3 linked regions of the Oryzias latipes genome follow. The main gene of each other region encodes a partner of the protein of the gene in region 2 in a complex. Links are inferred from orthologs where the notes say so. Each region holds a gene or a part of one and is shown on either strand. Other genes may lie near its edges.

Region 1 (9,584 bases), on a different chromosome or scaffold from region 2:
AAATAATCTTTATTGCAGTGTGATGACTGACATGTTGTTTTTTTGTTAGAATATTTTTCGGCATCAGCTAAAAATGACAGGCCTCGATATTTCAGCCGGAGGCTCAACTGAAACTTGACGGGGCATTGCACACTGAAAGTCCAATATAATTTTTATCCTCTTTTTATTGTTTTTATTAAGTCAATTATTATATGCTAACACATTTTACTTGTTTGTTTAATGTCTGTTATAATCTACTGTGTCTCGTCTGTGCTCCTGTCCTTGGGCGTGGACCTCGCCTTTGGCTCGTCTCACGGCCCCAGCAGACCCCCAACTTCATCTGGATGAAGCCCAACTGCTATACTATTCAAACATGTAGTTGTAGAGTTAGATAAGCTCATTTTTCTTTAACAGTCCTGGTACATCGCCTGTCCGTTCTGGGGGAGGATCCCTCCTTCATGTGGACACCCCTGAGGTTTCTTCTTTTTTTTCTGTAATGGTTTTATAGGAGTTTTTCCTTACCGAGAAGGAGTGTGTAAGGGCAAAGATGCCCAGTTTAGCTTAGTCTGTTTAGTTTAGTTTAGTTTAGTTTAGTTTAGTTTAGTTTAGTTTAGTTTAGTTTAGTTTAGTTTAGTTTAGTTTAGTTTAGTTTAGTTTAGTTTAGTTTAGTTTAGTTTCGTTTCGTTTCGTTTCGTTTAGAATAATCAGCTATTGTATTTTGTAACTTATTTTATGCTTTGTACAATTAGTGAAGCCCGTTGAGACAACTGTGTTGTAATATTGGGCTATATAAATAAAACTGAACTGAATTGATCCGATGTGTGTATGCAGCAATAGACTGCTGGGAATCAAAAAAGTATTTATCTGATTCATTAACTTATAAAGTACTTTTTTTTTTTTGGAAATGCCACGTTTATTATTCAGAATGTGTCTATAAAGATCACTTACATGTTTTTTTTAAATGAATTTTATCCAACAAGATTTTTAAAAATGTTTGTTTCACAGTGAAAATACTCTTTTGTGGATTTGCTAAGTCATAAAAAAAGATCCTAGGTATGTCAAAGACAAACTTTGCTTTATGTGCCTTTTTTGTGCTTTCAAGCAACAGTTCCCTGCCATGTCTCTGAGAAGGATTATTTACAGAATTAGTGGCTGTTTTTAATCCCTAAAATAGACCAAAATTGAACCTACTTTAAAAAAAAAAGAGTCTGTTACATCATTAGTCTGAACAGGATTAAGTCAATTATGAAACTGGTTGATTGAATTTTGAAACATTAAATTAATTTCCCAAAAAAATTGTGTTTTTTAATTAATGTGAAAACCTATTGTTTTTTTGATAAAATCCCAACAGACCTTATGAAGATTTGGTACCTAAATCTTTAGGAGCTGCAGTATGAATCACTTTGCCAGGGCCTATGCTTTTAAAGAACAATTTACTCCAGGTTTGCATGTTAGGCACTCACTTCTGCTGTTGGGCTTTACTCAACTGAATTTATCTTATCTGTCATAGGTTTATGAGGTACTTCACAACATTTTGAACTGCACCCACCAGTCTGAAGGTTGCATTTTCAACAGCAAGCCACAAAAGGCAGAAGCCACTGACCGTCTCTCCAGGTTTGATGTTGGAACAGTATTTCACGTCAGGAAAGGCCGTCCCGTTGGGACAGATAGCTGTGAAGGATATGTGCAGCTCCTCTGTGTCTCCAAGAGCTTCCAGCTCAATCTCAGATCGTAGTTCCTGAAAAACAGACGTCCTTATGAAGAGGAAAGAGGTGCTGAAAAAAAAAACCTTTCCTTTGTTAGACAGCCAACCTCAGAATCCATCAAACGCCTGTTGTTTTTAAAAGTGGGGCTTTCTTTAATGTATGATTACTCTAACCTTGCAGTGACCTATGATCTGTTAACAGCTTGAAACTTCTTGCCTTTTCAGTGAGTCATCAGCCCAGGTGTGATAGGTGATACTGAAGGAGGAGTGACAGTTAACTGCTGCTGGAGAGAAAATGACAAATGGACTCTGTGACGAAGTGTCTAGGAGGCATCAGATGGTTAAGTTCCTCCAGGAATGAACCTGTACAGCGTCCTTTGTGCCGCTGTAGCGGGGAAACATTTACGGTACACGATGTCTAACGAGCAACATTTTGATCCATTGCATATCATAAACTGTAAAGCCTCCAGTTGTGTTGCTTTTGAGCTTCGTATCTACAGACGCATTGGGAAAGGGGACTCCTCTCCAGGTGCGGTTCAAAAGGGGCATAAGTGACGAAGTAATTAGAGGACTGTGCACCTCCACCACCAATCATGGCTCGTGCGGCGGGGGGTTTACAAAACAAGACTGAGAACGGCAGAGAGAAAAAAAGAGGGGCGAGGACATCAAACAGCTGGGGCAAGCAGGAACTTGCTGGTGCGAAAGCACGGCACGGCAGATGAAAAAATGCAATACAACACAAAGCGAAGGATGAACAGCAGGAGAATGGGCAGGAAAAGAAAAGGCTGTTGCCTTTCATTCATCATGACATAATCGTAAAAAAACAACCCTATTTTTTCCCCTTAACTATTAAGTGTTTGTTGGCTAATTTTGCTCTGAATCAGACTTGACCAGCCTCTTTATTTACTTTGTACGCCGACACAATCAGTTCCAGGACATTCCCTGAATCCTTTGCCAGAACTCCGACTGTGGCGCCAGGTATGAGATCTGCATAATTCTAAAAGAAAACAAAGCAAAACAAGCAAACAGAAGAGGCATTGTAACAAATGTAGGTAGTGTTGCCTGTAGTTTCAAAAGCAAAAAAAAAAAAAAGCGGAAAAAAGGCTGGGCTAGTTTGAACAGGTAGAATGAAGTCAGTACATTAAAATGTTACTGTCAGAAAGGATTTAAAATTCATCCTTTTTTTTTAGACCTACAAAACTGGAAAGAGTTGAACTTTTCATTTTACCTTATAGTTGTTTATCTGTTCCTCTGTCACAGCAAATATTAACAGGATGTTGTTTTCCACTACTTTTTCAATCAGCTGACCGAGAGTTGGATACTCCTGGAAAGGTAGGGATACCAAAGAGTAGACATGGAGGATTCAGTTGATTTAAACCTTTTGTAGGATATGCATCTTAGGTTGAAAATACATGCTTTTGAGGGTTGGTTCTGACACACTAAAGCCGCATAAAAGAAAAAAAAAGGCAGATTTGTGTTTCTTATAGTATATGTTTAACATAAAATCACCACAAAACTGGAGCTATAGAGATCTGATCCATTAGCACCCAGATTTTCTGTTGTAACCAATGTGTTTTTTTTAAGTGTTCAAGGGGAGTTGAGAAGCAAACACAAAGTCAGGACTAAATGTGGTCTGGTATCAACTCTGATTTTTTTTTAAAACCCTTCTTCAAGGGTTTATTTTGGAAATTCAACCTAAAGCATCTAAACTACCTGGCTTAAGGTTTACCTGCAATGTAGACATGTAATAATCATTGTTTGCATCCAGGTGACACTGGCCATCATTGGGAATCACAATTCCAGCCATCCTACTATCCATCCCAAAGTGTGAGTCGGCACCACTGACAAAAACCAGCAGACGCATCGAATCATTCCTCCAGCCGATCTTGTCCTGTAGGAGCCACATCAGCTATGACTAATCATAGAATAAAAGTTCATGACACAGAAACTGACTTTTACTAAACGAAGTACTCAAATAATCCGTCCCAATCAGATTTCTGCTCCTACTTACCAGGGAAGTGCTGGACATGACTGAGATATGAGTAAGAATCAGCTGGCAGGTATATGGCTCAAATCTGGAGCAGCTGGCGTTTCTAATCATCTACATTCGCTTTTTCCCCCAAAAAAGTAATTTTAGAAGGAAACTGTCTTACCCCGCAAACTGTTGCTTGCATTATTGCATCAAATCCACCCTCCAACAGATCAAGATTTGCAGACACTTTTTGCTTTGCAATGATCTCGTTGAACTTGTCAGTTCTGCTTGTCAGAGGCAAAACGTGTTTGTAGCCAAACGTTGGCTGGCAAATCATGCTTGTGTGGCTGTAGGGGGGTACAGGGGGTAGAAAAAAAACATGTCAAAATAAAGAAGAAGATAAAAAGAGGAGTTTCTGCCGAGTGATGCGTCACACCTGCAAGGGTTTGCCAGCTGTTTCTCAGTGATCTGGATGAAGGGAAGGACAGGCTTGTCCACAAATGATCCAAAACCCATCCGGAATTTACTGGTAAGTTTGGCCATTTCTTTAGACAGAGTAGAACCCAAGTTCTTGATCATCCCTAGGTCATCAAACATGGATGCAGACAGGTCCATCAGGTAGTAGATGTCCACCGGATAATCTTCAGTGTGCTTTATTTTTACTTGGAAAGTCACCTCACTGCCTGAAGGCAAACAATGCAACCCATTAATTTTGTTTAAAAATGAGGGACGCGGCCTAAGAAAGTCTGTTGACTGCTTACCAGGTCGCAGCTTCAGGGACATTTTTTGTGGGGAGATTTGAGTCTGGTTTCCAGCAGCTGGCTTCTTCTCTAGAGGTCGATCTTGAAGAATTTGGGCTTCGGAAACGGGTAAATAGATGTGGGCTCTGTCGCATCCCTTTTCCAACAAAATATTCAGGGTGTCACATCTTTGTGAGACTGAAAACCAGTCGGTGAAATTCTACAAAACAAAGCAACACATTGAAGGATTTGGCATTGCACTTCCAGTAAAACCGTACAATGTGACCGTCCGCATGTTGGGGTTTCATGCACTTGTTGCTGATTACCTCCTCTGTGCACCAGGCACAGTTAGCACTGAGCTGCAGACAGTCATCACAGGTCACCACACTGCCTTCTGAGCAGGATCCTGCAGTTCACATGAACACAGGAGAGCTGAACTTGTTGACACTAAGCATATTTGTATGGCACTTTGGTATTTTCATTGTTAGAGGATTTTTTCATTGTTTACAGTTGTGGGACCTAATCTTTTGAGATACAAAAACTTTTTTTAATATCCCAAATCAGATGTTGATATTTCAATAAATAGTAGTTTTTGACATAAACACAATAGCCCCAAATATTTAGTATCCGTTAGTGTGTTTGCTCGTCGCTCATGTTTGCGCATGACAGAAGTGTCGCCCTTTCTTTTATTAAACGGAACCAAACCCTCGCTTACCCTCCACGGTGTGGATCCAGTACCGCAGGATCAGGCTCAGCAGTAGAAACCCCATCAGTCCGGCAGGTTACTGGTTGGGAAGAAACATAAGAAGAATGTTTCAAGTTGGCTCAGGAGCTATTTACAGGCGTGAAACCTATCCATGATCCTCCAGAGAGAGCGGAGCGGGACAGCGCAGCACCTGAAGAAGAGGAGGAGGAGGCGAGAGGCTGCTTTTACCTGCGCAGCCTTTGGTTTCACTTCCGTCCAGGTGAGAAAACGAGGCGGGAGCGCGAGCGCACCGCACGCGCGCACTACCTCCTTTTTTTCTTCCAGCCGTAGCAGAAATCTGTCATAAGTAATTTGTCATATACTGTTTTGTGGGCGTGAGAGACATTAACATTTTGTCAAATGGTGAAGATTATGTTCCAACAAAGAGGAAAGGTTCAACTAGACTAAAGACGGTCTGCAGAGGCTCCATTAAAGTTTAGGTTTGACTTAACCATGTGTTCTTGCTTCACATTCATTAATCCCCTTTACTCCGTGATCAAACATGAATGTTGAAACACAGTGAAGTCTGAAGCGGTTTGTTGTTGTTGTTGTCTTAACAACCTGTGTTGGATTTTGTGCTGCTGTTATGGCTCCTTATCTTTTCTAGATCACCTGCATGGCTTTTCCACACTCAGCTACAGGGAGTCATTCAATCTAAATCTGTCTGATTTACAGGAGTGAGTGTTCCTCTGTTACCTCCTTTTATTATGATGCTGTCATAGCCAGTTCCAGGTTTACTTTAGTCCAGCTGCTGGTCTAGGACAAAATATCTGACATTTTATTTTAAAAGAGGCTGTTTTTCTCATCTAAAAAGCTGTAATTAAGGGAATTTTTCATCTTTTGACATTATTATATCACAAAAACTAGTTTCTTTCTTCCTAATTCGAAGGTTTTAGTTAAACCTGTTTTTGGAAGGAAAAAAGTAGTTTAAAATCAAAGCCCCAAGCGGCGTTGTACAGTACAGACCAAAAGTGTGGACACATCTTCCCATTAATTTAATGAGAATGTGTGTCCAAACTTTTGGTCTGTACTGGATGTCTGCAGTAGCTAGCCGCCCTAAGTAGGCAAAGTGAGGATGTGCCCCTCTTTTTTGCCCTTCCCCTTTTTTGCCATACCACCCTGTCAAAGCTTCTTGTGACAAATTCATTAAAAATAACTTTTTTCAAAAGGTGGCTTTTCTGTTGGTTTTATCTCCATAGCAACCATTTTGTTATTTTGGTCATCTGGGTGTGACGAACAGGTCTATGTAATTTTTAGAAGAATCAGCAAAAAGTAGCCATTTTTGGATTACCTTGGCCACAGATGTTTTCTGTTAACCACGCTCCCATTCCTAACATGTTCATATCGTATGTCAGTTTTGTTCAGCTTGAGCCAACGATTCTTGTATTACGTTTACACAATATTCTATGTAAAAGTGCACGCAACAAGCCACTTTTGATCGCAACGCTAACGCCATTCAAAATCTGCTACTTCTAAATTTAGCCTTTTTTGGCGTAGTAGCTTCTGATTGATACTCGGGGGGATTATGAGATGATAGATCAAAATCCCTTGTCGGAGCTTAGATTTGTAGAAGGTACTTAAGGTTTGTGCCTGAATTCCTTCCCTACGCACTATATAGTGTGTTCGCCATTTTGTAGTGCTGTCCGAATCTACAATTCCAAAATCAAGTGCCCTAGAAATTTCCCATAAGTCTCTGCAAAAACCAGTGTGCATCGATGCTCACTAGAGTGATGAATATAAATCACAATGTATCGCGTCTGAACCATTTTTGGCAAAAAAATTTATCTAGATGTATTTTTTAATAAACCATCAACGTTTTTATCTTCGGAAGACAGTAGATTCATAAATGATCATTGCAAAATGACGTCGACGATGTCATATTCACTGTTTAAAATAAAAAAAAAAGTAGTAAGCATGGTGTCTGAATTGCTTTTAAAATTCAGGGCACTACACAGTCCTGCACTATATCGTTTTTTTGTAGTTAGGGGTTAGGGTAGGAATTCGGACATAGCCATAGTGATTTTTTGGGGGAAAATTCAAGATGGTTGCCTCTTCCTGAGGTCAAAGTTCAACGAACGCTTGGTAGTGGCTGCAAAGTTTAGTTGGCGGGATGTGCGTGAAATTTTATGAATATCGCTCAAACAAAATTTTTCTTTTCCCATATTGCGGGAAAATGAGAAAAACAACAACTGCCACAATTTGCCACAAAATGGCTGTCAAGTGACCATCCCAAATTATTTTCAAAACTTCACTTCGTTAGAAAGTCTTTTCACTGGGTGGTACGTGAGTACCAAGGCTGCTGTATCAAAGTGAAACTTAGAGCAGAAATCCTGCTGGTTCACCCAAACCTTTACGTTATGCATGTTATTTAAGCAAAGTGGAGCAAAGTGTCAATGAATCAATTAACTTAATGAACTCTCCTCTTCTGAATCAGAGCAAACTTTCCTAAAATAATAGTAACATTGAAAATATTGTTAATTTCCTCATAACTGTTTGGATCCGTCAGACATTACAGTCTAACGTTTAATCACAGAGTCTTTTGGACAATACCACTAAAATTCAGACAAATCACACCATGAGCAAATACAGTCGCTAAACTCTATTATCCGGACGATATTACTAAAGTTATGTTAATTTTTAACTTCGGCATGAGTCACTATTGCCACCTCCACGCTGTTTTAGCAGCTTGACGATTAACTTCTGGTAAAGACGGGTTTGCAGGCCGGTCACATGATCTGAAACTCAGTGCATGTGTGTTTAAATCAGGAGGTCAGAGGGTCTGGAGCTGCATAGGTACTGAACCATTGACAGCTGCACAGCCAACATCACTGCCAGCCCCAACTCAGAGGAATCTCACTATATAGCCCCAGCCCCCCTTCCCACCCCCACTGAATCAGAGTGAGTCCCATCTGTCACCCCGGACCAAACCCCACCTCTTCTCCTTCCTCTCCTTTCTGCCCCTAAATTTCAACCCCCTCTCCATAACCCACCCACTTCTTCCAGCCTATCTTCTAGATGTCAGCGTTTCATTCATTCTTCCCCTCCGTGTGCCTGTCAGTCCACTTGCACGGCTCCTGCCTTTCTCCTCACATCTCCTCTGCATCCTTTTGTTTTTGCATTTGATCATTTGGTGCTTTAGGCACAAATTAGAAGACACTTTTCCACCTCACAAACTTTCAAACCTGACTTTGGTTTAAAACCGTTGCAGCCGATTTCTGGGGAGTGGAGAGTCTTATTTTGAAAAGCTGAAAATGCTGTGTCAAATTTACCACAACGTGTCTTTTAATTCTGTCCAGATCTGAGGCACTTTGTTACTGTGGAAAAACAGAACTAGTTCTGAGCAAACCAAAACAAATCCATAAATTATTCAGCCAAACGTTCCTCAGCCAACTCACCTTCAGGGCCATCCTCTGATAACATGCTGTCCGGTCTCAGTCTGTCCTCTTTGCCATGAAGGAAAAGTTAGGGAGAAACAGAGAGGCAAGAGGCCGCCGCATTCGCTCCTATTGTCTCTCGACCGCTGTCAGAGTAACAGTAAACCTATTGTAACGGCGCCCTTTAAGAAGCATGGCACAAGGGTGACCCTGCTACCCATGCTTGTTGGATTTTGTGTGTGGGTGTGTGTCTGGGTTTGAAAGTGAGTGAGTGAGTGTGCATGCATGCAGGGGTCATGTGTGGGTGTCTGCACAAGCTCCGGCTTGCTCGTATGTGTGAGCACTGGGAGGCTGCAGTGATAATGAGCGACAGCAACAACTGCCGGCTCTGAGACCTCCACAGGAGCCCCGCTCCTTTATTAAGAGCCGGCCTGACTGATGTGCTGGCATTGCACTCTAGAGGCTGCACCACGACACAAAGGCAGGGGCTTCGTGATGGCTGTGGATCTCGGGTGTGTGGGCTCATGTTTATTCAAGATGACTTGCGGTACTCCCTGCAGCATGGAGGGGCATGGAGGGAGCGCCAGTTCTGTAATACGGCCTCCTTCCTGCAGCGGTATGACAAGAATGCAGGTGTACATGTGCTTATTGGTGAGCGGGACAAAATAATGAAGCACATTCCCACACTTTGCAAGAGGAGAGGAGCAGATCAAACCTGGCCATAGTCCCAGAGGCCTTGAAACGTGCAGCTTCTTTTTATTAGATGCTTGGCACAGGAATGGACTAAAACCCCCACAGGAGCCCAGCTGAGTTGAATGCTTGCAGACACATGCTGACAGGCCCAGGCTGTAGATGTTCAGCTGGTTCAATACACTGGTCAGAACACTCAAACATATGTTAGTCTGCATTTAAAATATAGAAATTAGTAGTAAAGTATTAAAGAAGTATTTGAAAAAGTTTCTGAAAAAGAGATCTTTTAAGCCTAATATTAGTTCAATCAACATGTTGTTCTTAGCAAAAGACAGGATAATTCAAAATAAGGAAGCTAGATAGGGAACTGCAGTTTTAT
Region 2 (10,315 bases):
TCATTGTGATGTAAGCCGTTACTGAGTATCATGAATTCAGGCCAACATGCAGCCAGGAATGAGTGAGCTGTCCACTCTTAGGACAACCGCATGACCTGATCTTAACCCCATGTCTGGAATTTGATCTAGTGTTTTCTTTTTCTCAATTGACTTTAAGGGAATCACATTTCACGTCAGATTTAATTGAGTCAGACATATAAAATAAATAATTTGTCTATGTGGATAAAAACATTACATTTCTACTAAAAGGAAAACAAGGATCAAATGCAAGATTTGAAATTTGTACAAAAGGAAGGTAAAAGTGAACTGATTAATTTAATTCAACATGAAAAACATCATTGCTGACTGTGTGATCCTTCTGTTTATTGCTGGAATGAACTTCCTGTTGGGCCTCAGCTTTGTGTTGTGTTAAGCTGAATCCAGGCCGACAAAGACACACAAACACGCCTGATTTGAATACGTCTAAAGTTGTAAAAATGATCATTGGTAGACCAACAGATTGCTAAGCATCCGTGTTAATTTGGTAAATAATTATAAGGTATTTATACCAACACTTAAGTAGGAATAAAATATTGAAAAGTTGGTGTTCACCTTTCTGCACATACTGTCAGGGGTCGCTACCGTGAATCAGCTTTCAATGATCCGCACATTTTGGTTTGGCAGAGAGTTTTATGCTGGATGACCTTCCTGACACAAACCTGTATTTTATCTGGGCTGGGGACCGGCACAGGGAGACCTTGACTCGGGCCCCACTGGATTTAGCTCATGGCGCCCCCTTGGAAAAGAACCCTGGTTTCCCATGTAGCGATAATGTATACAGAGGTATTTTAGTACCCTTCAATTCAGAAAGAAAGAAGCTTGTTAGACATTTGGTCAAAACACAGAAAGCACTGAAACATATTGCTATTACTGTTATTAGAAGTAATTTCATTGTATTAGAAATATTTTAAAAAACACAAAGCATTGTAAAGGAAATTTGTGAGATTGCACTACTTTTTGAAAACACTACAAAAGAGAATGGCATCATGTCCTACTTTTGTTTTCTGTTCTTTGGTGAAGAATATTAATACAACAATAACACAACATTATAGTTACAACAATGACATTTTATTCTTAATATGAATTTTTTCTCCTCTTTGTTTTTCCCTCAGCAAAACATCCGCCTAAGCCCATCCCCTTCCTTACATACTGCTCACTCTCACTACAACTTCATCTCCTCCTTCACTTCATCCATGAACCTCCTCGTTAGCCTCCTGCTCAGAAGATCAAACCAATATTGAATCCTTTACATTTGTGCCAATACTTGCTTAAATTAAATCTTTTTAATACTATTTAATAACACATTTTATTTATAAGGCGCCTTTCAACCAGCTTGATGGCTTAGTTGGCTACATGCAGGACTGGTTTATGGGAAACCAGGGTTTTATTTTCCAGGGGGCATGATGAGTTTATTCCATTGTGGGTCCTTGAGTAAGACCCAACACGTTTCTGCCTAACTATGTAGCCACAAGGGGCTACACAGGGGGCCCAAGTTCGGGCCTCCATGTGCCAGCTGGTCCCCTGCCGAAAAATAAAGGGCTCTGTCAGAAAGGGCATCTGGTGTAAAACTGCGGATTTGTACAGGTTTATATCATTTGCCGTGGCGAACCCTGATGAGATATGCTAAAAGTAAACAACATTTACAAGGCGCCTGTAAAAAACTCTCAGGGCCTGGTGTTCTCCTGGCTTCAGGGCTCTGGCTGCTTGGGGGAGGGGGGGATCGGGGGTGCGCACTTGGCTAGCATTGAGGCGGGGGTTCATGGGTCTGTGCATTCTGGGCACAGGGTGGGCGGTGGCTGCCAGCCGGGAACGTTCCTGGACAGGTGTGGCCGCTGAGGCTTGGCCTGGGAGGGATCTTAGGATTTTCGGGCCTGGGGCTTGGCTGCCCTCAGCCGGTGTTTTGCCCGTGGCCGATTCCTTGGCGCTTGGCCTGGCCCCTGGGGTCAACGATGCATCAACAGCAGAGGGGTGAAGGGGTTAATTTATTGCACTTTCGGGGTTCCTCTGGGCAAAGGGCTTTAAAAAGGGCTTTTTACTTAATTTAATTACTTTACCTTTATTTTTTATTTGTATTTATTTCCTTTTTCTTTTCTTTTCTTCATGATTATTATTATTTTATTAATGTATTTATTTATTTTCTCCTTCTTTTCCAGCCAGCCGCCCACTGCGGCTGGCAGTGACCGGCCCCCCAGCCGCCCACTGCGGCTGGCTGGGGGGCCTTCTTCCCCCGGTTGTGCCCATCCGCCTCCTCCTTTCCGCTCCCACCGAACAAATTTTGCACACATGCACAGAGGGCTCCGGGAATTGGACGGGTGGGATATGCTGGTGGGGCTGACCGGGAGTTACTCTCTTTGGGGCCTCATCGGCACTCGCCCTCCATTCCACTTTTACTCGCATATTTTAGGGATCGGAGAGGGGCGGCCTGGTCCCCCTGGGCGGCCGGGCGTGTGGGGACCCTGTTAGCCGAAGCAGTGGCCAGGCGTGCGGTGCTAGGGGGTCGGTGGGCTGGAGTGGGTTACTGAGCAGCCACGGGGGGCAACCAGAAGAATGTGTGTGTGTGTGTGTGAGAGTGCATGGGTGGGGACAGGCCTGGGGGCTCACCCTCCCTTTTCCAGAGTGGGAAGGGCAGCGGGGGGATAAGGGAGGAGTGCTGTAGAGGGTAATGTGGGGGGAGGTAGGGGTGGAGCTGTGGTTGCATCATAATCTTTGGGCTGCTTGGGTCAGGCTCCAGCTGGGTGGTGGGCGGCTCCTGGGCCCACGTCTCGATGTCCAGCGCCCAGTGGCCCGAATGGCTGCCGCCCGGTATGTCGGAGCACGCCTGTCCTGTGGCCTGTGGGTCCTGACACTGGGCTCGCCTATACTTCCCGGTGCCGGAGGAGCCCCTGTAGGGGGCCTTCCTCTGCACCTGGCTGGGTAGGTGGGCAGTACCACCCCCCCCCCCCACACACACACACACACACACAATCGGGTTGCGTGGGTCCCGTTGCTGCGGACGCTCCTAGTGCAGGGTCTCCCCCATTTACACCTTGTCTATCCGAAGATTCGTAACCCCCTTTTGTAATAGTAAAACCTGTCCAACACAAAAGGCCTTCAGCGCTCATCTTTTTGCTCAGTTGTTGGACAGAACAAGTTAGAAAAATAATAATAAGAAAAAAACTCTCAGGGTAGGTATAAAGTAAATTTTATCTTATTTTGTATTAAATCTTACATAAAGTTATGTAAAATCTAACTTTATTGTTTTAAAACACTAATAAGTTGTGGCAAAGTTATTTTTTTAAGTAAATTTCCAATTTTATATTTAATAGATACATGGACAACACAAGAGTACTGGTAAAACGGGATTAAAACAGAGCTTTGAATTTTGCTCCACTAACTTGAAGTGATCCTCATAATGTAAAAATGTTTTCTTAAATTATCCCAATTAGTGAAGAATTTTATTTAATTATTCACCAAATAAGTAAATTATTTCTGAGATCAATTATAATATATCTGCATTACTGTAATGTTATATTAGGTACTCTGCTAATACTTTTTTGTAACGCGTTCCTTCCATCACAGTTCATGACTGTTAAAGTCCCACTCTGCTCTTTTTTTAAAGTGTTCCCAGTGGTCTTTTAATAATGATTATAGAGTTATTAGCCAAAATTAAAAAACCTGTGTCATTTTCTGGAAAATGGTTTCTGCAGAGCAGCAGGAGTTCATCAGAAATTTGTCTCTGAGTTGTGGGCGGGACTTATAGAGTTAGCCCGTTTCTACTTCCCGACATCCATCTGTTTACACTCTGTCCTGCTGGCTTACAACCAGCCTCTCACACCCCCCCAGCCTAATATTACCTGTTCCACAAATACATATTATATGTTTAATATTCTTTATATCATGTCCTCCATCATCGGAAAAATACAACAATAACATGTTAAAAAAACACGATTCACTGGAGTGGGTCTTTAAGTTCTCTCTTTGTTCACTGACCATGTATCTAAAATCAAAGTTTACGTCAGCATGGGGAGCTTTTGATTTGAAAGGGACGGGCCGGAAGTCATTGAGCAGATCCCCCCCCCCCCCCCCTTGGTAAATTAGCCTGATTTTAGCTCGCTCTGACTGTCACACATTTATCCGTGAACAGGAGCTGTGCAGCGGTGGCCTCTCCGTGGAATCCCGCTGTTCTGTAGGCTACAGAAGCCCGACCGGATCAAAGCTTGGTTCGGCCGTGTCGCTGGGTGTGTAAAAGTCGGTCCCTCCTGGACGAGCCGACAACACAATCAGTGTCTGTTTTACATGAAGACTTGTTCGGCGGTTGCGAGGCAGAGCTCTCGGGTGGACGGCTGAGATTTTCCAGGCTGTTTTGAAGTGACGCCGTTTGATGTTTTCAAGGCACCGGAAGTTGAGTTTGCGCACACGGTGAGTGGCAGCATCTCCTCCGCCTGAGTGAGTGGTCCTCGGTGAAGCCGCGGAGGTCTTCAGCAGCAGCAGCAGCCATGGCGGGGGGACGCACCGCTGTCGCCGTTCTGGTTCTGGCGTGTTTACGCTTCCATCACAGCAGCTCCTTCAACCTGGACGTGGACAAACCCTCCGTGTACGAAGGATCCGAACGAAGCTACTTCGGCTTCTCGGTGGACTTCTTCAAGTAAGGGTTAAGAAGAACATGCGAAACATGACGGGATTAAGATAAAGTCTAGGAATTTTCGAAAGGCGTCTGACATTTAAGCACGCGGGAATTACTAATTTACTCAAATCATTTGACTTAACATTAATTTTCAAAAAAAGAAAATTTAAGAGTAAAAAGTAATCAGTTGTAAAAACTACAGAAGCAACTAAAATTAAACATAAAATAAGTATACCTTCTTCTAATTAATTGTAATGCATTTACAAGGCAAAATAACAGAGCATTTAAAAATAAAATAAATCGAAATAAAAGTAACATTCTTTTGTTTGCAGTGTTTCTCACAACATCCAGTCAATAATTTTCTGAAATGTGAAATCAAGAAAATGGAGATTAGAAGCTATGTAATACAGTAAGTAGTGTTTCCTAATAATTATTCTGCCTGAGGTAGATAAAAAATAAAAGAGGTGGCAACCAGGTATGGCCTCCTCACTGAAACAACCTTTAGCGTTTCTGAAGAGGACATTTATACTCTGTTTTCCTGTCTGTAACATGTTTGTTACAAACAAAAAAACAAAAATCTGAAAACTGGGAGTTCTTGGATAACTATAGGAATCAGATCTGCCACGTCTATAAGCTCTTCATCAATTTGACCCTATTTTAAACACCTCTTTAAAGACCCACCCCAATGCAAAGAAAATAGTGTTTTTTTACATGTTCTTGTGGCATTTTTTTCATGATGGATATATATAAAGAAAATTATTTAAGCTCAAAATTGCAGTTCTTGGGAATCAGGAGCAGACGACAAAATACAGGTTGAATACAGTTGTATTTGTGACGTAAAAAACACACCAGCTTCCTGCTCTGCTCCATTCTGATGCATCCACTTGCAGACAAAAAGACCCATGTACGTCTTTGTTTTCCTCGTCTGAGGTGGAATTTGGATCTAAACTGTACATATGGATAGCCGCAATATTCCTTACCATTTTTGTTGCACTGCTAATATTAGGTTGGGGTTGTGAGGGGCTATAAACTAGCAGGAAGAGTGTAAATAAAGGGATGATGGGAAACTTACTCTGCCCCAATGGTCCCACCCACAAGTCAGAGGTAAATTGCTGATGAACTACTGCTATTCAGTGGATGTGTAGTCATAAACGAAACAATTTTTAAAAAATGTTTTTACTATAAATCTGTAAAACAATTCAGACGTTTCTGTTACCCTTAATGAAGAAAAAATAAATTTTAAGTAAATGGTTAAACATCTGACTTTTTTTCCTGCCAAATTGCTTTTAAAAAAACATTTTCAAACATAAAAGACAGAAAGGAAACAGATTGATGTGTTTACATGTAGAAAGAAATCAGTAGATGTGCTATAAATCTCAATGTAATAACCTGACTGTCACAAGATAGCTGCCATTTGTCAATATCTTGATCTGATCAATAGGGACCAGACACTGATCAGATACTGGGTGTGTAAAATGGTTCAGTCCCAATGGAAATGACCCAGTTTGCTGCTCTTTTACAGAATCACCTTTATAAGTTGTTGTTTCTCTATCATATCTTAAACCAGCGCAAACAGTACCTATTAGCATTTCAAAGAAACAAATAATAAAAGTTATTCAAAATGGTGTTTTTTCACTTTGTCCTCATCTTCCTAATATTTCAATTACTGTGTACTCCAGCCATTGAATGCATCAGCAAACCCTTTTTATACTTGTTGGAATTCACTCCATCTGGTGCAGTTGGAGAAGTTAAATGCCTCACATGCAGGTTATCTTTGCTCAAATGATTAATGTATACTCTGGCTTAAGTATTTCAAACCCAAGCATTTGTTTGTTACAGATTTAATGTTAACTACACAGATTTATTTTCAGTACTATTGTAATATAATGTTTATGAAATACCAGTTAAAGTAGGACCCACCTTAGTATTAAGTCTGCTGACTCGGTTTCATTCAGAACATTCTGAGGTATAGTGTATGTTTTAATTGAATGATGTCATAAAGTGTGGCAAACAAGTATTTATCAGTCACTGATTATGCAAGTGTTCTCACTAAGAGGAGTTTGGTCTGTAGTGTTCATCATTAAAACCTTTCAGCTGTGAGACAGAATATAAGATAGAAACCAGGAAATTACATTGCTTGATTTATAAGGGAGTTATCTGAGAAATGGTGCAAAAAATAAATATTCAACTTCAAACAAACATACAAGACTTCAGTTCCTCACAGACCTGTTACTACTTCTACAAGAAGTTCTTCTATTCCCCACTGGTTACCTGCATTAATGTCACCAGTTTGAACTATTATTTGCATAAAAGACATGTGTCCACACTCTTAAACAGCCAGACTGCAACCTCTCCACAATGATCAAGACGAAAGAGCTGTCAAAGGATACCAGGGACAAGATTGTAGAGTGGAACAAGACTTGGATGAACCAAACTATAATAAACAAACAGCTTTGAAAGACAAGATCAACTGTTGGAGCAATTATTAGAAAAAGTAAGAAATACTAGATCACTGACAATCTCCCTCCACCTGACACTCCATGAAAGATTTCACCTGGTGAGGTACAAAGGATTTTGAGAAGGATGAGGAAAGAACCCAGAACTACATGAGGGAACTGGTTAATGACCGGAAGAGAGCTGGGAACAAAGTTCACTAAAGTAATACACTACGGCGTCATGGATTGAAATCTTGTAGAGCTCCAGAGGTTCCCCAGAACATGTCCAGAACCATTCAAAGTTCTCCAGAGAGTATCTGGATGATCTAGACAAGGATTGTGAGATTGTCGTGGTCAGATGAGACCAAATGGAACTCACTGTGTTTGGAGGAGAAAGAGTGCTGAATCCCAAAAGTGCCATACCCCACTGTAAAGCATGGGGGTGGAAGCATCATGGTTTCAGGCTGCTTTTCTGCAAAGGACACTGGATGACTGATCTGCTCCATTACACAAATAAATCCTTTAAAAATAAAACATTTTTTAAACTTTGTCTCTCACACTTAAGGAAACTCATCTGTTGAAGTGGATCATCTTACAGATTTGTTGAATGTCAAATACTTTCAGCTCTTTTTTCGTTTTCATTGGGTGCATCTTAACATTAGTTTTTCTTGCTTGTTTGTACTCTATTTTGGCTTAGACTTTTAACAAAAGTGAAGAATCTGATCTTTCTCATGTTTTCTGGTTGAAATCTTGGTGGAACACAACCTTCTGCTTCACTGTGGATTATTCATGTGGGTGACTCATTTAGTCACATAGTCTGGAGTCTTTGGAACATTGTGACAGTCTGGTCTTAAGTTTTCCTGCTTGCTTTCCCTCAGAATCTGTCTGAGGAGACAGTTTGACATATCTTAGTTCACACACACTTCCTGAAGATGGTTTTCAGAAATTTAAAGGCTGTGTCATCATAAATTAAAAAAAGTGACTTGTAAGGTCATCTAAGTCTTATTTTTTCCTTTGTGCTATCTAGTTGGGTCCAGATGACCTCGTCCTTACATTCCATGACGAAGGTGTTATAGGATTTCATGTCTGCCATGGACACCAGTGAAAATCAAAAATCATTGGGGAAAAAAAGTTCAGCCTGCTGTTTTGTGGGTTCTAGATGACCCCACTCCCACGAATAGCTGCCTTGGATAGCACAAGGTTGTTGTCATCACTAAAACAGAAAAACTTGGAGTTAAAGTTATTGCTTTGCAAGTAAATCAAATATTTAAGGTCAAAAATGACAAGTTGATTATTTGTTGTTGGATTTTCTACCATAAAAATTGTTACCTCAGTCAAGAGGAAGTGATTAAGAAATGGATTACAGTGAGATGGCAAGAAGATAATCCAGAATCTTTCAATATTTTTGGTAGTTTTTATTTGCAGTTGAGCTGCCAAAGCTCAGGTTTTAGAGGATTAGATGAAGATGAGCTACTGCTGCTATGTTCCCTGAATGACTAAACAACTTGTTGTTTTCACGCTGCTATCCAAAACTGAAGTGACACGTCAGTCCATAAACAGCATTTGTCCATCCCAGCCCCGTGAAGCAGCAGTCTGAAAGAATCATCAAACACAAATACAGAAATGTTCTTTTGTATTTTGTAATCCATTGAGTGGTTACCTCTGGATAATCTGCAACAAAAGCAAGCTGCCGCAAACAAAGACGCTTTGTTTGAAAACTCCTCCTGCTGCACAACTGGAAGCTGCTCCAGCTTGCATCAAAATGAAAAACCAGAGGAGCTCTATCACACCTCTGGTTTGTTTTGTTTGAACCATTTAGCTGAATGGAGATTTTTTTTCTCGAAAGTTCAGACTCTGTTTTCCATCACTACTATTCAAGTTGAATTCACAAAAACGAGCTCTCTGGTGGTTTGACGTCATGTAGCCACTCTGGATTAGGTACTATGGAGCACAGAAATTCTTCAGCGCTCAGACTGATTTGGATTCTCTTAAACATGGAATTCTGAGGTTTATTTGTGATATCTGTCAGACTAATGTGGTCTGTTTAGAGATAAACAATCTTCATTAACTCCAGATGTTGTGGGTTCAGATAAAGTTCAGATAACTTGTCTTTTTATCTAGTGCATGGAAGTCCTGAATGTGTGTATATTTGGTCTTGCTGCCTCTCTGTGACCTTTTTGTGGAATCTAATGCCTGGTCTGTCTGTCCAGGTCAGACGTTCTCGTCGGAGCTCCTCGGGCAAACACCTCGTCCTCCAGCAGCGTGGTGGAGAGAGGAGCGGTATTCAGCTGCCCCTGGAACAGCAAAGACTGCAAGGAGGTGCCCTTTGACAGCTCAGGTACCAGAACTTTCTGCTCATGCTTGGTGTTCTGGTGGAGCATTAAAGTAGGAGTTACACTCTGGGTGACCATAAACTACTTTCTGCTGTTGCAGGAAGTAGTTTATGGTGGATGGAAGTGTGTAGCTTTGGGACAGTTTGAGGATAAGTGATGTTGTGGAGCAAAATACGCTTTTTTAGCCAACTTATCTTCAGACTGGTGCAGACAGTTTGAAAGATCTTCATCTTTCATTCAGCATAGTGGCTAATTCAGAGAACAATATGAAGGATTTTATCCTGGAAAAATACAAGGTGTGATTTCTATCTTTTATCATCTGTCTGGGCGTGTTCCTGACTCACTTTCCTATCGGCTACAGTTTTGTCAAAGTGCTGCTCTTGTCAAAAGTTTCATCACCCCAGATCATGTAAGAATAAGCAGCAATTTCACCTCATGAGTAAATGCTTTTCAGTTTTTGTCGAAAAAGATGCCTGTAAACCTGATTTCAGAGTTTAGATCCTGAAAGGTGGAAAAGGCAGAAAAAGGGGGAAGGAGAGAAGCAGCTGTTGATGCAATGCAAAATGTTCCTCCAGGCCAACTTCACCCAGTGCAGCAATCCCCATCATTATGAAGGGAATGCTCAGACATGCCCAAAAGGTGCAGGCTTTAGTTCTGTTGAAACTGGTGCAGGTCTCCTCTGTGGTTTACTTCATCATGCCAGTTGGAGTTTCAAACAAAAAAGGTTTGAGAAGATACTTCATAAAAACAAAGTTCTAGTTTTCCAAATCCTAGGTTTGTGGGTTTTGACTCCTCTCATATGTTTTGGAAATAAAAAAATACTAAAAGATGTTAGTTCTCTTTGTCGCAAAGTAAAGTGACAAAAATGGACCAAACAGAAGACAAAGAGCCTCAGAAACGGTCAG
Region 3 (9,584 bases), on a different chromosome or scaffold from region 2:
GTAAACAGAGAGGGATTGCTATGTCCTAGAAAACCCAGAAAACTACACATATTTTGATTTTAGGCTAAAATTGGTTAAATCCTAATCAAAAGACCTCTGGGAACGCTTTTAGAATAGATCAACAGATGATTGATCTCTTGATCTGTAGGACTTTCTAGACAAGGTGGGGCCAAGCCATCGCTGTGATCTGCCAGGAAACCTGCAGAAGAGAGGCTGTGGACCAGAATTCCTGGAGCTGTCTGAGATCAAGGTGGAGGTCGGCAGGCTCACCAGGACACAAGTGTCTCCGCAGCACATAAGCATCACTCTCAGACCAGGTGAAGGCCCCTGCGATTCAAAATGTTTTCATGCATCCAGCACCCATGCAACAACTATTTTTCAGTTTTAGAGCAGGGACAAATGTAACTAATAAAATTGTGTGGGTACGTCTCTTCTTAGGTTCAGAGGCCAGTTTCATTGTAGCTGTGACGCAGTTGGAGCGATATCCTGTGGACTTGTACTACCTGGTGGATGTGTCAGCCTCCATGCAGGAAAACCTTGATCACGTAAATGTTACATTTTCGTATTAAGTCAAAGTTCTGCAGTCTGTAATTATCTGTAACTGATGATTATTAGAACAAATTTCAGAATGAACCAAAGAGGTACACTCTCTTTCTCATCTTTCCTGTTGTGTTCTTGTGCATCCTGGATCTCTCCCTATCTGTAATGTAGTTGAAGACGGTGGGTGTGGCCTTGTCTCTTCGTATGATGCAGCACACCTCAGACCTTTGGCTGGGTTTTGGCTCGTTTGTGGATAAACCTGTGTCACCTTACATCAATGTACACCCTTCTAAGATCAACAACCCCTGCAGGTAAGAGGTTGGTTAAAGACGCACTCCAATAAACATTATGTTTTTGGTGTTATTAACATGTTTTTGTCATATTGTTTTGATGATAGAGGGCATATATAAGGGAAATTAAGCTAAATATTACATTTCTAAGTATTTCTTTCTTCAAATCATAAATCAGGAGCAGATAAAAAAATGCAGTTTAAAAAAGCTTGTAGTTGTTAAGTACAAACTACAATCATCAGGTCACAAGCTTCCTGCTCCGCTCCATTCTGATGCATCCAATTGCAAATAGATCCATGTACGTCTTTATTTTACTCGTCTGAGCTGGAATCAGGAACTAAACTGTATGGCTGGATAGCTACAAGATTGCTCACCCTGTGAGGGACTGTAAGCTAGCGGGAGAGAGTGTAAACAAAGGAATGATGGAAAATGAGCGCAGGCTTACTCTGCAACAACAGTCCAGCCCTCTTTTATTATTTGGATACATGAAAAACACATGTAGTATATTTTCTATCTTTTTTGCACTTTACAATTTAAAAAAAATTCTCAGATGTTTTTAAGATACAAAAAATATTAATGTATTAAAAAAAAGAGGAAGTGACAAGGTAGAGATGGTCTTGTGTGGTCAACATAAACTTGGATGCTAGGACAGCATTATGAATACGAGATGTGCATGTAAAGCAGTGCAGCAGCTCTGCATTCCTGACTGTTGCAGCTTAAAACATAAGACTGTTTTGCGTTTCTCGCCAGCGATTATGAGATCCGCTGTCGCCCGGCCCACGGTTTCCACCACGTTCTCAGCATGACTGGGAATATGAGCGAGTTCACGCGTACGATCAAGCGCCAGCGCATCTCTGGTAACATGGACACACCTGAAGGAGGGCTGGACGCCATGCTGCAAGCTGCTGTCTGCCAGGTGAATGGGGCCTTCAGTGTTGTGTCTGCATGACACTGAGAAGGGCTTTTGTTCAGGGACAATGGGTGAACTCTGACTCAGCATTGAACGTTATCTCTGCAATAGCATTAAGCAGAAGACATCAGTGTGGAAGTATGGCACACAAACAGTCACAAATGCTTACACTGGGGCTGAGTCACGCCATGTAAGGGGGCACGAAGCAACCAGTTTTCAGGGAAACATCATGGTGGTCATCAAGGCCAGAAATAGATTCTCCATTAGCTACTTATAAGCTTTCCTCAATTGCTCACGCATTTGCTCTTATTTTCTCACACGGTCTCTGCAGAGGTTAAAGACATAAAGGAGACACTGTCAGCTCGTGGGATTTTAGCTGTTTTAAATTGTTTCTTCTTTACAGAAAAATGTGAACATAACGGCAATAGATCTGATTCCGATGACTGAAAAGTTTGACACTGCATTTTTCTTTTACCGCACTCATAAAACTTCAAAATGGGAAGCATATGGAGTCCTGTGAAAAAGGTCCTGTTAGTTATCAAGCTCCCTATGTTAAGTCCAAAAAAAATCATCAGCACTTTACTTAGACTGAGAGTTTTTAAGAAAAGTTTGAGATGAACGACAAACAGCCTGTCATGCCATTTCATTATTTTTTTACTGTAGGGTATTTACATGTGTGATATTGCAATCCAGTGGGAAAAACTTACATATAACTGTTGTTTTTTTAATCATAACACACTACATAGATAGGTACATACCTTGTTAGCCAACGACACACGTTAGGCCTTCGTCACAACTGCCCTTATGGATGGATATGGGCTCTCTGCGGTGTACATGTACAGGGCACGCAGACTGTCCGCATCCGAGACACAGGCACGTCATACAGATTTTCCTTTTTTCCACCCCCTTAAGTCCTGTGTGCTGTGCAAAGGGCCCTTTAGGGCTGTTCAGGTAAGTGTGCGCTCCTTGCCTGCAGCCTGACTGTTACATATTAGGAAATTAGAGTGTAGTTTGTGCGGGCATCCTACAGGTGTCTTATAGGTGTGTGCAGCATTTGTTTACGGTCAGGGAGGAGCCAGTACCTTACCACCAGCTGAAGTGCTACGTAAAAGGGCATCACACAACAGCATTACTCGTAGGTCATAATTGCGTGTAACTTACAATATTCCTATGCTACGTACACAACAGGCATGTGATGTGTGTTCAAGAATGAGCCAAAGGAAGATTCTTGAAGGCGCTTTTAGCATACAGTGTTCACACTAGACTGTCGCATACTAGCATATGTCCCTACAGTTGGAAGAGGTTTGATGCAAAATGTTGTGAATCTTGCGCCAGACTTTTTCTTTCACTGCTCTATTGCGATTTATGAGAGACTTGGTGCCATAGAATTACGGTAAGACACAAAACGCAATTATTAATTCATCATCCATGATCACTTTGCAAACAGTTGCCACTTCAGAAAATAACAAAGGATGCTGACCATACATCACTAGCAAACCCGAGACTATTATTGGTCAAAGTTCAACTGGTTTAGCTTTCAATGTGCATTCAATGGCCTCGTGTCTTGTACTTAGAGGCCCAAACTAGACTCAAAAACGTGTGTGGTGACGTGTGTAGCGATGTGTGAATGCGAAACGTTTTGAATGTAGAAGCCCAAAATTTGCATTTACGTGCATTAACACAGATTTCTGATTGAATTTAGTCTCTTGATAGCACATTTTTGAGCCTGGTGTGAACGTAGTATGACAAATACTTTATAATCTGCTTATCACACACACAACTGTCATACATTTCCTTTTTATGACAACTCTTAAGGTGGCCGTATAAAACTCAAGGGAACTGCAGAACACACCTGCGTTCCTTTGTAGATGTCGAACCCTCCACAGGCCCGAGCACCCCAAAAACCCACAGCAGTTTCATGGGTCAACCTGAGTGCATGTGATTATGGCATAAAAAAAAGTAGAGTCTTTGCAGCAAATGTCCACATAGTGTGTTGGTTCAAGCACAAATTCTATCTGGAGCAATTCACATGTGTGCTAATTCAAATTAAAACGAAAAACTGTTGTGAAATTGTTGCTTTATTGTCCTAAAGACTTAGGAGCTAACACACCATACCTAAATGTGACTTTTCTATCAAGGATGCAGTTGGTTGGCGATCTGAAGCAAAGCGTCTGCTGCTCCTAATGACTGACCAGCCCTCTCACCTCGCCCTGGACAGCCGGCTGGCAGGGATTGTTGTGCCACATGATGGCCTTTGTCACTTGGAAAACAATGTTTACACAGGAAGCACAAAGATGGTGAGGAGTGAGAAGTAGTTTCAAGATTAAGAGTAGATTGACACATATCTCATCGTTGGGTTTTCTCCTTTATAGGATCATCCCAGTTTGGGACAGTTGTCTGAAAAGCTGCTTGAAAACCATATCTACTCTGTCTTCGCTGTGGATAAACAGCGGTACCAGTGGTATGAGGTAATCTGTCCCTCAGATGCAACCCTTGAACAGATAGTTTTACCTGATGATCCACATTCCAGTGTAACTAAAGTTAAAGTCCCATTAGTTGTCATGCTACGGAGCCCCTAAAGAGACATAGACGTAAGAAGTAAAAAAAGATTTGTACTGGTTTCTCTTGCGCACAAGAAAGTATCTGTGCACACCAGAAAATAAATGGTCATCTGCATATAGGAGACCTTTTCAGTAAGTCATCTGAAAATGACATTATGTGAACTTACTAACTTTTATTTTACCTTCAGACTCGCCTACAAAGACATCGTGGCTTTGCTTGTCCAGCGTCACCATTATGTCATCTCTGAATGTGACCTAAAACAAGTTCTAAAGTCTTTGGTTTGACACTTTTTGGTGCACGAGAAACCAGTACTATTTCTTTTTACGTTTATGTCCCTGTAGGGGTTCCATATCACACATTTGGATGTGTGAAATTATGTTCTGCATTTGACCCATCCCCTGGACGGAGCAGTGTTTTAATCCAGCTCCTTGCTGAGTGTCAAGCAGGCAGGCATTGGGTCCCACCAATCATGGATTTTTAACTCACAACCTTCCACTGTCAGGGTGGATACTCTAGTTTAAGGCCACTAAGTTGCTTACTATTCTTTAAATTCATGTGTTTGTTCCTCTAGGAGCTGGTGCGCCTACTTCCTGGTTCCTACTTGGGAAAGTTAAGCCTCCGTCAAGCACCAAGCCTGGTAGATCTGGTGGTGGATGCATATAAGGTAAGAATATAAGGTATTCTCCCTGTCCTATTGTGTTCCCCTTAGTAAAAGGAATCCTCCAATCAGTTGTGGCAACACAGTTGAACCTTTTCTTTTTACTTATTCCTTTTGCAGCCTTTTTAGTACCATCAGATTAGCAGACAGAGCTCCAGAATTCAATTGAATTTTTTAGCCCAATATTACAACAACAGACATCTAGACTCAAATATGTTAAATTTCTGTGCACGTTTTGTGGTACAACAACACACTTTTTACATCACAGAGAGTTCAACAACCATTACATGAGGTTTTTGAACAATTCAAACAGAAAAACATGGATGAGGACAAGAGGCTAAGGAGGGGTAAGCTTCAGCGTGCTTTTGTGTGCGTGAGACCTTGGGTTAGTTCAGTTGGCAGCAGTCTGCGACTATAATCTTGCCTCCGGCAAAGTGCTCCATTGTTTGCCTTGTGAATCTGCCGAATCCTCAGATTGGGGCATGCATCTACACACATATGTGCACACAAACACACACACACACACACAAACAGAGTCCAAACAGAAGCTGCCATTGTAGCAGTATCAGATCCCCAAGGAAACCATGTGTCCTAATCATGGACGGAGACAAAGATTCTATTTTTGGCTCCACCCCCTCTTACCCATAAACCCCCTGGTATTTGTAAAAGAAGAGTAGGCACAAAGAAAGGAAGTGCTTTCTAGTGATGTTGATGATTGAGCTGCTTTTAGAGAATTTAATCTAAGTCTACCTCAAAATCAGATTAAACTGGACGTTTTAGTGTCATGTAAAGCTAAAATTTAATTCCCCCTCTTTCTTTTGTCCCGCTCAGAGGCTGCTGTCAGAGGTGTTGGTGTCTGTGTCAGTGGAGGACAAAGCAGTCAGCAGATACTGGGTCTCTGTGTCTCCTCTGTGTCCCGATGGATCCACGCCTAAAGGCTGGAGCTGCACAGGAGTGCAGCCAAACCAGACGGTGAGCACTCCTACAGAGTATCAGTTTGTAGAAATTCAATCAAGAGAACTTTTACTTACAGAGAGGTTTCTTAGCCTTTTTTCTCCGTTTCGGATTGTTTGGACGTGCAAGAACACACCTACACAAGCACATTACCTAAAGCTTTCATGACAGAGAAGATTTGTTAAATAATCCAAGTTGAGCGGATTATTGCCTGTATTTAACAGGAAAACATTTCCATGTGATTCCGTGATCTTTTTTGTCCTCAAACCTTTGCCTTGCCTAATATGACTCTCCATCCAAACAAATGAGACATTTGATTTATAACGAAAATAACCTTAAAGACCGACCTGGAGGAAAATTGTGTTTTTGTGGCATTTTTCTCATGATGGAGAAAACATAATTAAACTTAAAATTGCATTTCTTTATTCAATTGTAAACCAGGAGCAGACGAAACAATGCTGTTTGTAAAAGGTTCTATTTGTTAGTAAACACGTTGGGCGGCCCACAAGCTTTCTGCTCCGCTCCATTGCTATGGATTCACTTGTGGACAAATAAATCAATGTATGTCTTTTTTTTCCCTCGTCTGAGCTGGAATCTGGCTCTAAACTTCTCAAAAATTTCTCGCCATTTTTGTTTCACTGCGGATGTTAGGTTGAGTTGTGGGGGGGCTGTGAGATTGTGGGAGAGCACGTAAACAGATGGATGACAGGAAGTACAGGCGGGCTTACTCAGCACCAACAGTCCAGCCCACAGCTCAGAGGCAAATTTTTAATGAACTACTGCCGCTCTGTAGAAACTATGTCCTAGATCATTTGGGCTAAAAATGGGATAATCATTTATAAAAGACCACTGGAAACACTTTAAAATAGAGCAAATGAGGATTAAAGTGGGTTTTTAAAAGTGTTTGTTGTGACTATTTGCTCTGCATGATTAAATATTTCAATTTGAAGGAAAACATAAAAGCACTTGGCTATAAATACATGTAGATGTAGATACACTAGATATGAATACACTGGGAATTGTAGCTTTGGTTTCTCTATTTCACATTCATAAATGTGCTGACATTCTCTTTTCTGTAACCTTTGTGTGATCCTTCTTAAACTCCAAGACACTAAATCATTGCTCTGTAATTGTTTCATTGTGGTGAGAGACAAACGCTCAATCCTTTAATCCTTGGATGGATTAAACTGAATTATGGAAAGAAGTTTTCCGCAGTGGTGATAAATATCAGGAAAAGGTCTTGTTGTGCACAGTTTTCCACATCAATAGGATAATTATTCATGCTGAGTCACTCCAACTATTTAGAACTATTTAGATTTTGCCTATGTACTGTTTAAAATTGAGGTATCGATGTTGTAACCAGGCAAAGAGATGCCATTCATTTACTGTCATTCCTGCAAACAAACAAAGGTTTGAACAGAAAAAGTAAATACTTTCAGTAATGTAGCATCCATCAACATACGATAGAAATTTACCAACTCAAATCCAAATTTAAATATGCCAGATGAGGACAAAAATATAGGGTAACTTTTTCAAACAGCATTTTTTTAATTCACAATGATTTGAATAAAGAAATACACAAAGCGCAAATTTGAGCGTGTTCTCCATCTTGAGAAAATTACTACAAGAACATGTTAAAAACACCAAAACACAATTTTTAAAGAATTTACTGTCCAGAAAGTGTTCTGTCAATGCGAAGCTAAAAATACTGCCCTGTTTTTGTCATGCAGGTCTACTTTAATATCACCATCGGTCAACACTCCTGTGCTGATGATGGCAAAGATGAAGACGTGAGGGTGATCGTTCGCCCTGTGGGTTACAACGAGTCGACGGTTGTTAGGATCCGTTCCAAATGTCACTGCCGATGCGGAACAACAGGGCATTGCCATGAAGACGAACAGTTGCCCTGTCAAGGGCCTCAAGATGGTGCAAAGCAGGAGCATCTTCTGCATGACAACACAGATCCAAGCAGGAGCTGTAGAGCGAGCGGTGCAGATGTGGACTGCAGTGGGCGGGGAATGTGTGTGTGTGGGAGCTGTGTGTGTGACCAAGTTAGACTTGGGACTATACAAGGGAAATATTGTGAAATAGATGACTTCTCCTGTCCATACAAAGGGGGACTAATCTGTGCAGGTAGGGAAAACCCTAATACATCAAAACTAGTTTGTAATAATGAGACTTTTGAAAATTGTTAACACCTGTAAACTAATTTCCCCCTTTTTCCATCTGTCCTTAAGGTCAAGGTGTGTGTGTTTTGGGACAGTGTGTCTGCGAGGATGGGTGGAGCGGTGATGACTGTGGCTGTCCCCTCTCCACAATTACCTGCTTTTCAAATGGTTTACTCTGCAATGGGCAGGGCAAGTGTGTATGTGGAAAGTGTGTGTGTGACGAACCTCAACGGCATGGAGACTTCTGTGAGAAATGTCCTACTTGTCAAAGCACATGGCAATCTTACTGGTACATGAGAAATTCAAATCTTGACATGAAATTAACATGAAAGTCAAGATCTTACCCTTGATTCACTGTGAATGTTTTCTTTTGTTTTTGTTTTTTAGTAAAAGTGGGACTTGCCTACATTCTTTTGGACTCTCGCAAAAAGAGGTGTCAATGGTCAGCTACATGGATAATGCATCAGGTAATCTGAGCCCAACTTTGCTTGATGATAATATGCTTCAATGTGACAAACCCATCATAACCCATTGGTCTTCTTCCTTCCTTCATAGGTTAATTGGCATCTCAAAATTGCCCATAGGTGTAATTGTGTGACCCTGCAACAGACAGGTGTTCAAAGTGTACCCCACCTTGTTCAGTAGCTGGGTTGGCTCCAGCAGCGGGATCCAGTGGGTTCTCAAGATAGATGAATATAAATGTTTCTGTTGTTTGTGTGAAAAAGCAGAGAAGACACAATGATGACATTGTAATTGTTGTTTATCTAAACACAAATGCACAATTTATCAATGTTTCAATCATATTCTAGAGTTGTAATTTGAAAAACTGACACGTAGTGAAAAAGTCGCTGATTTGGAAAACCTTCTAGTAGAGGATTTTTTGTTTTGTTTATATAAGTCTTAAAAGTTGTTCACCCCCAAAAATACTACAATTTAGGAAAAAAGAGATAAATTAAGTTACTCCAAAACATTAATTGTCTTATCTTGCTGAACTTACACTAAATTCAAATATTGTTTAGGCTTTATGTCATCCTACTTACATACATCCATCTTCAGAACCTGCTGAATTCTGGGGTTGCTGGAGCCTATCCCAGCTACACTTGCATAAGGGGGGGGGTACACCCTACATAGGTCATCAGTCTGTTACAGGGCCACACAATAACACACACTCACATGCACACATAGTGGCACTTTAGCCATTTAGCTATTCCACCTATGAAGCATGTTTTTGGACTGTGTGAGAAAGTGGCCGGAGAAAACCGACACATGCACCAGGAGAACACACAAACTCCACACAAAAAGGACCCAGCCAGGATTCGAGGCAGGGATTTCTCACTGTGAAACTTTATGTCATCCTACATGGCATTTTTTTCAAGTTATACGTCGCTCCCGAGTACGAGTCGCAGCACCAGAAAAAATGCATAAAAGAGAATTATGCATGAGTATGCATTAGTATTAGTAATTAAGTCACACTGGAGTATATGTTGAACTTTTGGTAGAAA

What was found.
Region 1: the proteins of itgav (region 2) and itgb6 are in contact, whole or in part, in a crystal structure (PDB 9CZA), measured with the Homo sapiens proteins. The link is inferred for Oryzias latipes from reciprocal best matches to the Homo sapiens genes ITGAV and ITGB6. Residues at the interface, in NP_002201.2 of Homo sapiens: Tyr48, Phe51, Lys72, Trp123, Leu141, His143, Gln150, Glu151, Arg152, Pro154, Asp178, Ala179, Phe184, Gln186, Phe189, Pro204, Tyr208, Trp209, Asp249, Tyr251, Tyr254, Pro274, Arg275, Arg278, Thr279, Met302, Ala303, Tyr305, Phe308, Pro328; in NP_000879.2 of Homo sapiens: Ser183, Pro184, Phe185, Lys187, Thr188, Thr189, Pro190, Ile236, Asp237, Thr238, Pro239, Asp273, Ser274, His275, Phe276, Gly277, Met278, Asp279, Lys281, Leu282, Ala283, Gly284, Val286, Pro288, Glu308, Thr311, Ile312, Gly313, Gln314, Ile316.
Region 3: the proteins of itgav (region 2) and itgb8 are in contact, whole or in part, in a cryo-EM structure (PDB 8TCF), measured with the Homo sapiens proteins. The link is inferred for Oryzias latipes from reciprocal best matches to the Homo sapiens genes ITGAV and ITGB8. Residues at the interface, in NP_002201.2 of Homo sapiens: Tyr48, Phe51, Trp123, Leu141, His143, Gln150, Glu151, Arg152, Pro154, Phe184, Gln186, Phe189, Pro204, Trp209, Asp249, Tyr251, Tyr254, Arg275, Arg278, Thr279, Gln301, Met302, Ala303, Tyr305, Phe308, Pro328, Leu329, Met331, Ser335, Asp336; in NP_002205.1 of Homo sapiens: Ser197, Pro198, Ile202, His203, Pro204, Arg206, Ile250, Asp251, Thr252, Pro253, Thr287, Ser288, His289, Leu290, Ala291, Leu292, Asp293, Lys295, Leu296, Gly298, Val300, Pro302, Glu321, Ser324, Leu325, Gly326, Gln327, Glu330, His349, Trp350.

What each region holds. Positions count from the first base shown.
Region 1 is NC_019861.2:14,539,287-14,548,870, reverse strand, and holds the start of itgb6 (integrin beta-6), read right to left. Parts: upstream 8,756-9,584; 5' UTR 8,537-8,755; intron 5,182-8,536; 5' UTR 5,167-5,181; coding exon 5,112-5,166; intron 4,803-5,111; coding exon 4,723-4,802; intron 4,617-4,722; coding exon 4,418-4,616; intron 4,340-4,417; coding exon 4,093-4,339; intron 4,004-4,092; coding exon 3,838-4,003; intron 3,576-3,837; coding exon 3,414-3,575; intron 3,009-3,413; coding exon 2,913-3,008; intron 2,682-2,912; coding exon 2,592-2,681; intron 1,718-2,591; coding exon 1,583-1,717; intron 1-1,582. UniProt on the Homo sapiens protein: Integrin alpha-V:beta-6 (ITGAV:ITGB6) is a receptor for fibronectin and cytotactin. It recognizes the sequence R-G-D in its ligands. Internalization of integrin alpha-V/beta-6 via clathrin-mediated endocytosis promotes carcinoma cell invasion.
Region 2 is NC_019879.2:14,011,303-14,021,617, forward strand, and holds the start of itgav (integrin alpha-V), read left to right. Parts: upstream 1-4,103; 5' UTR 4,104-4,256; intron 4,257-4,410; 5' UTR 4,411-4,514; coding exon 4,515-4,663; intron 4,664-9,287; coding exon 9,288-9,415; intron 9,416-10,315.
Region 3 is NC_019869.2:9,733,399-9,742,982, reverse strand, and holds part of itgb8 (integrin beta-8), read left to right. Parts: intron 1-148; coding exon 149-317; intron 318-438; coding exon 439-545; intron 546-711; coding exon 712-851; intron 852-1,580; coding exon 1,581-1,746; intron 1,747-3,878; coding exon 3,879-4,037; intron 4,038-4,112; coding exon 4,113-4,208; intron 4,209-4,873; coding exon 4,874-4,966; intron 4,967-5,791; coding exon 5,792-5,932; intron 5,933-7,644; coding exon 7,645-8,047; intron 8,048-8,151; coding exon 8,152-8,371; intron 8,372-8,469; coding exon 8,470-8,549; intron 8,550-9,584. UniProt on the Homo sapiens protein: Integrin alpha-V:beta-8 (ITGAV:ITGB8) is a receptor for fibronectin. It recognizes the sequence R-G-D in its ligands.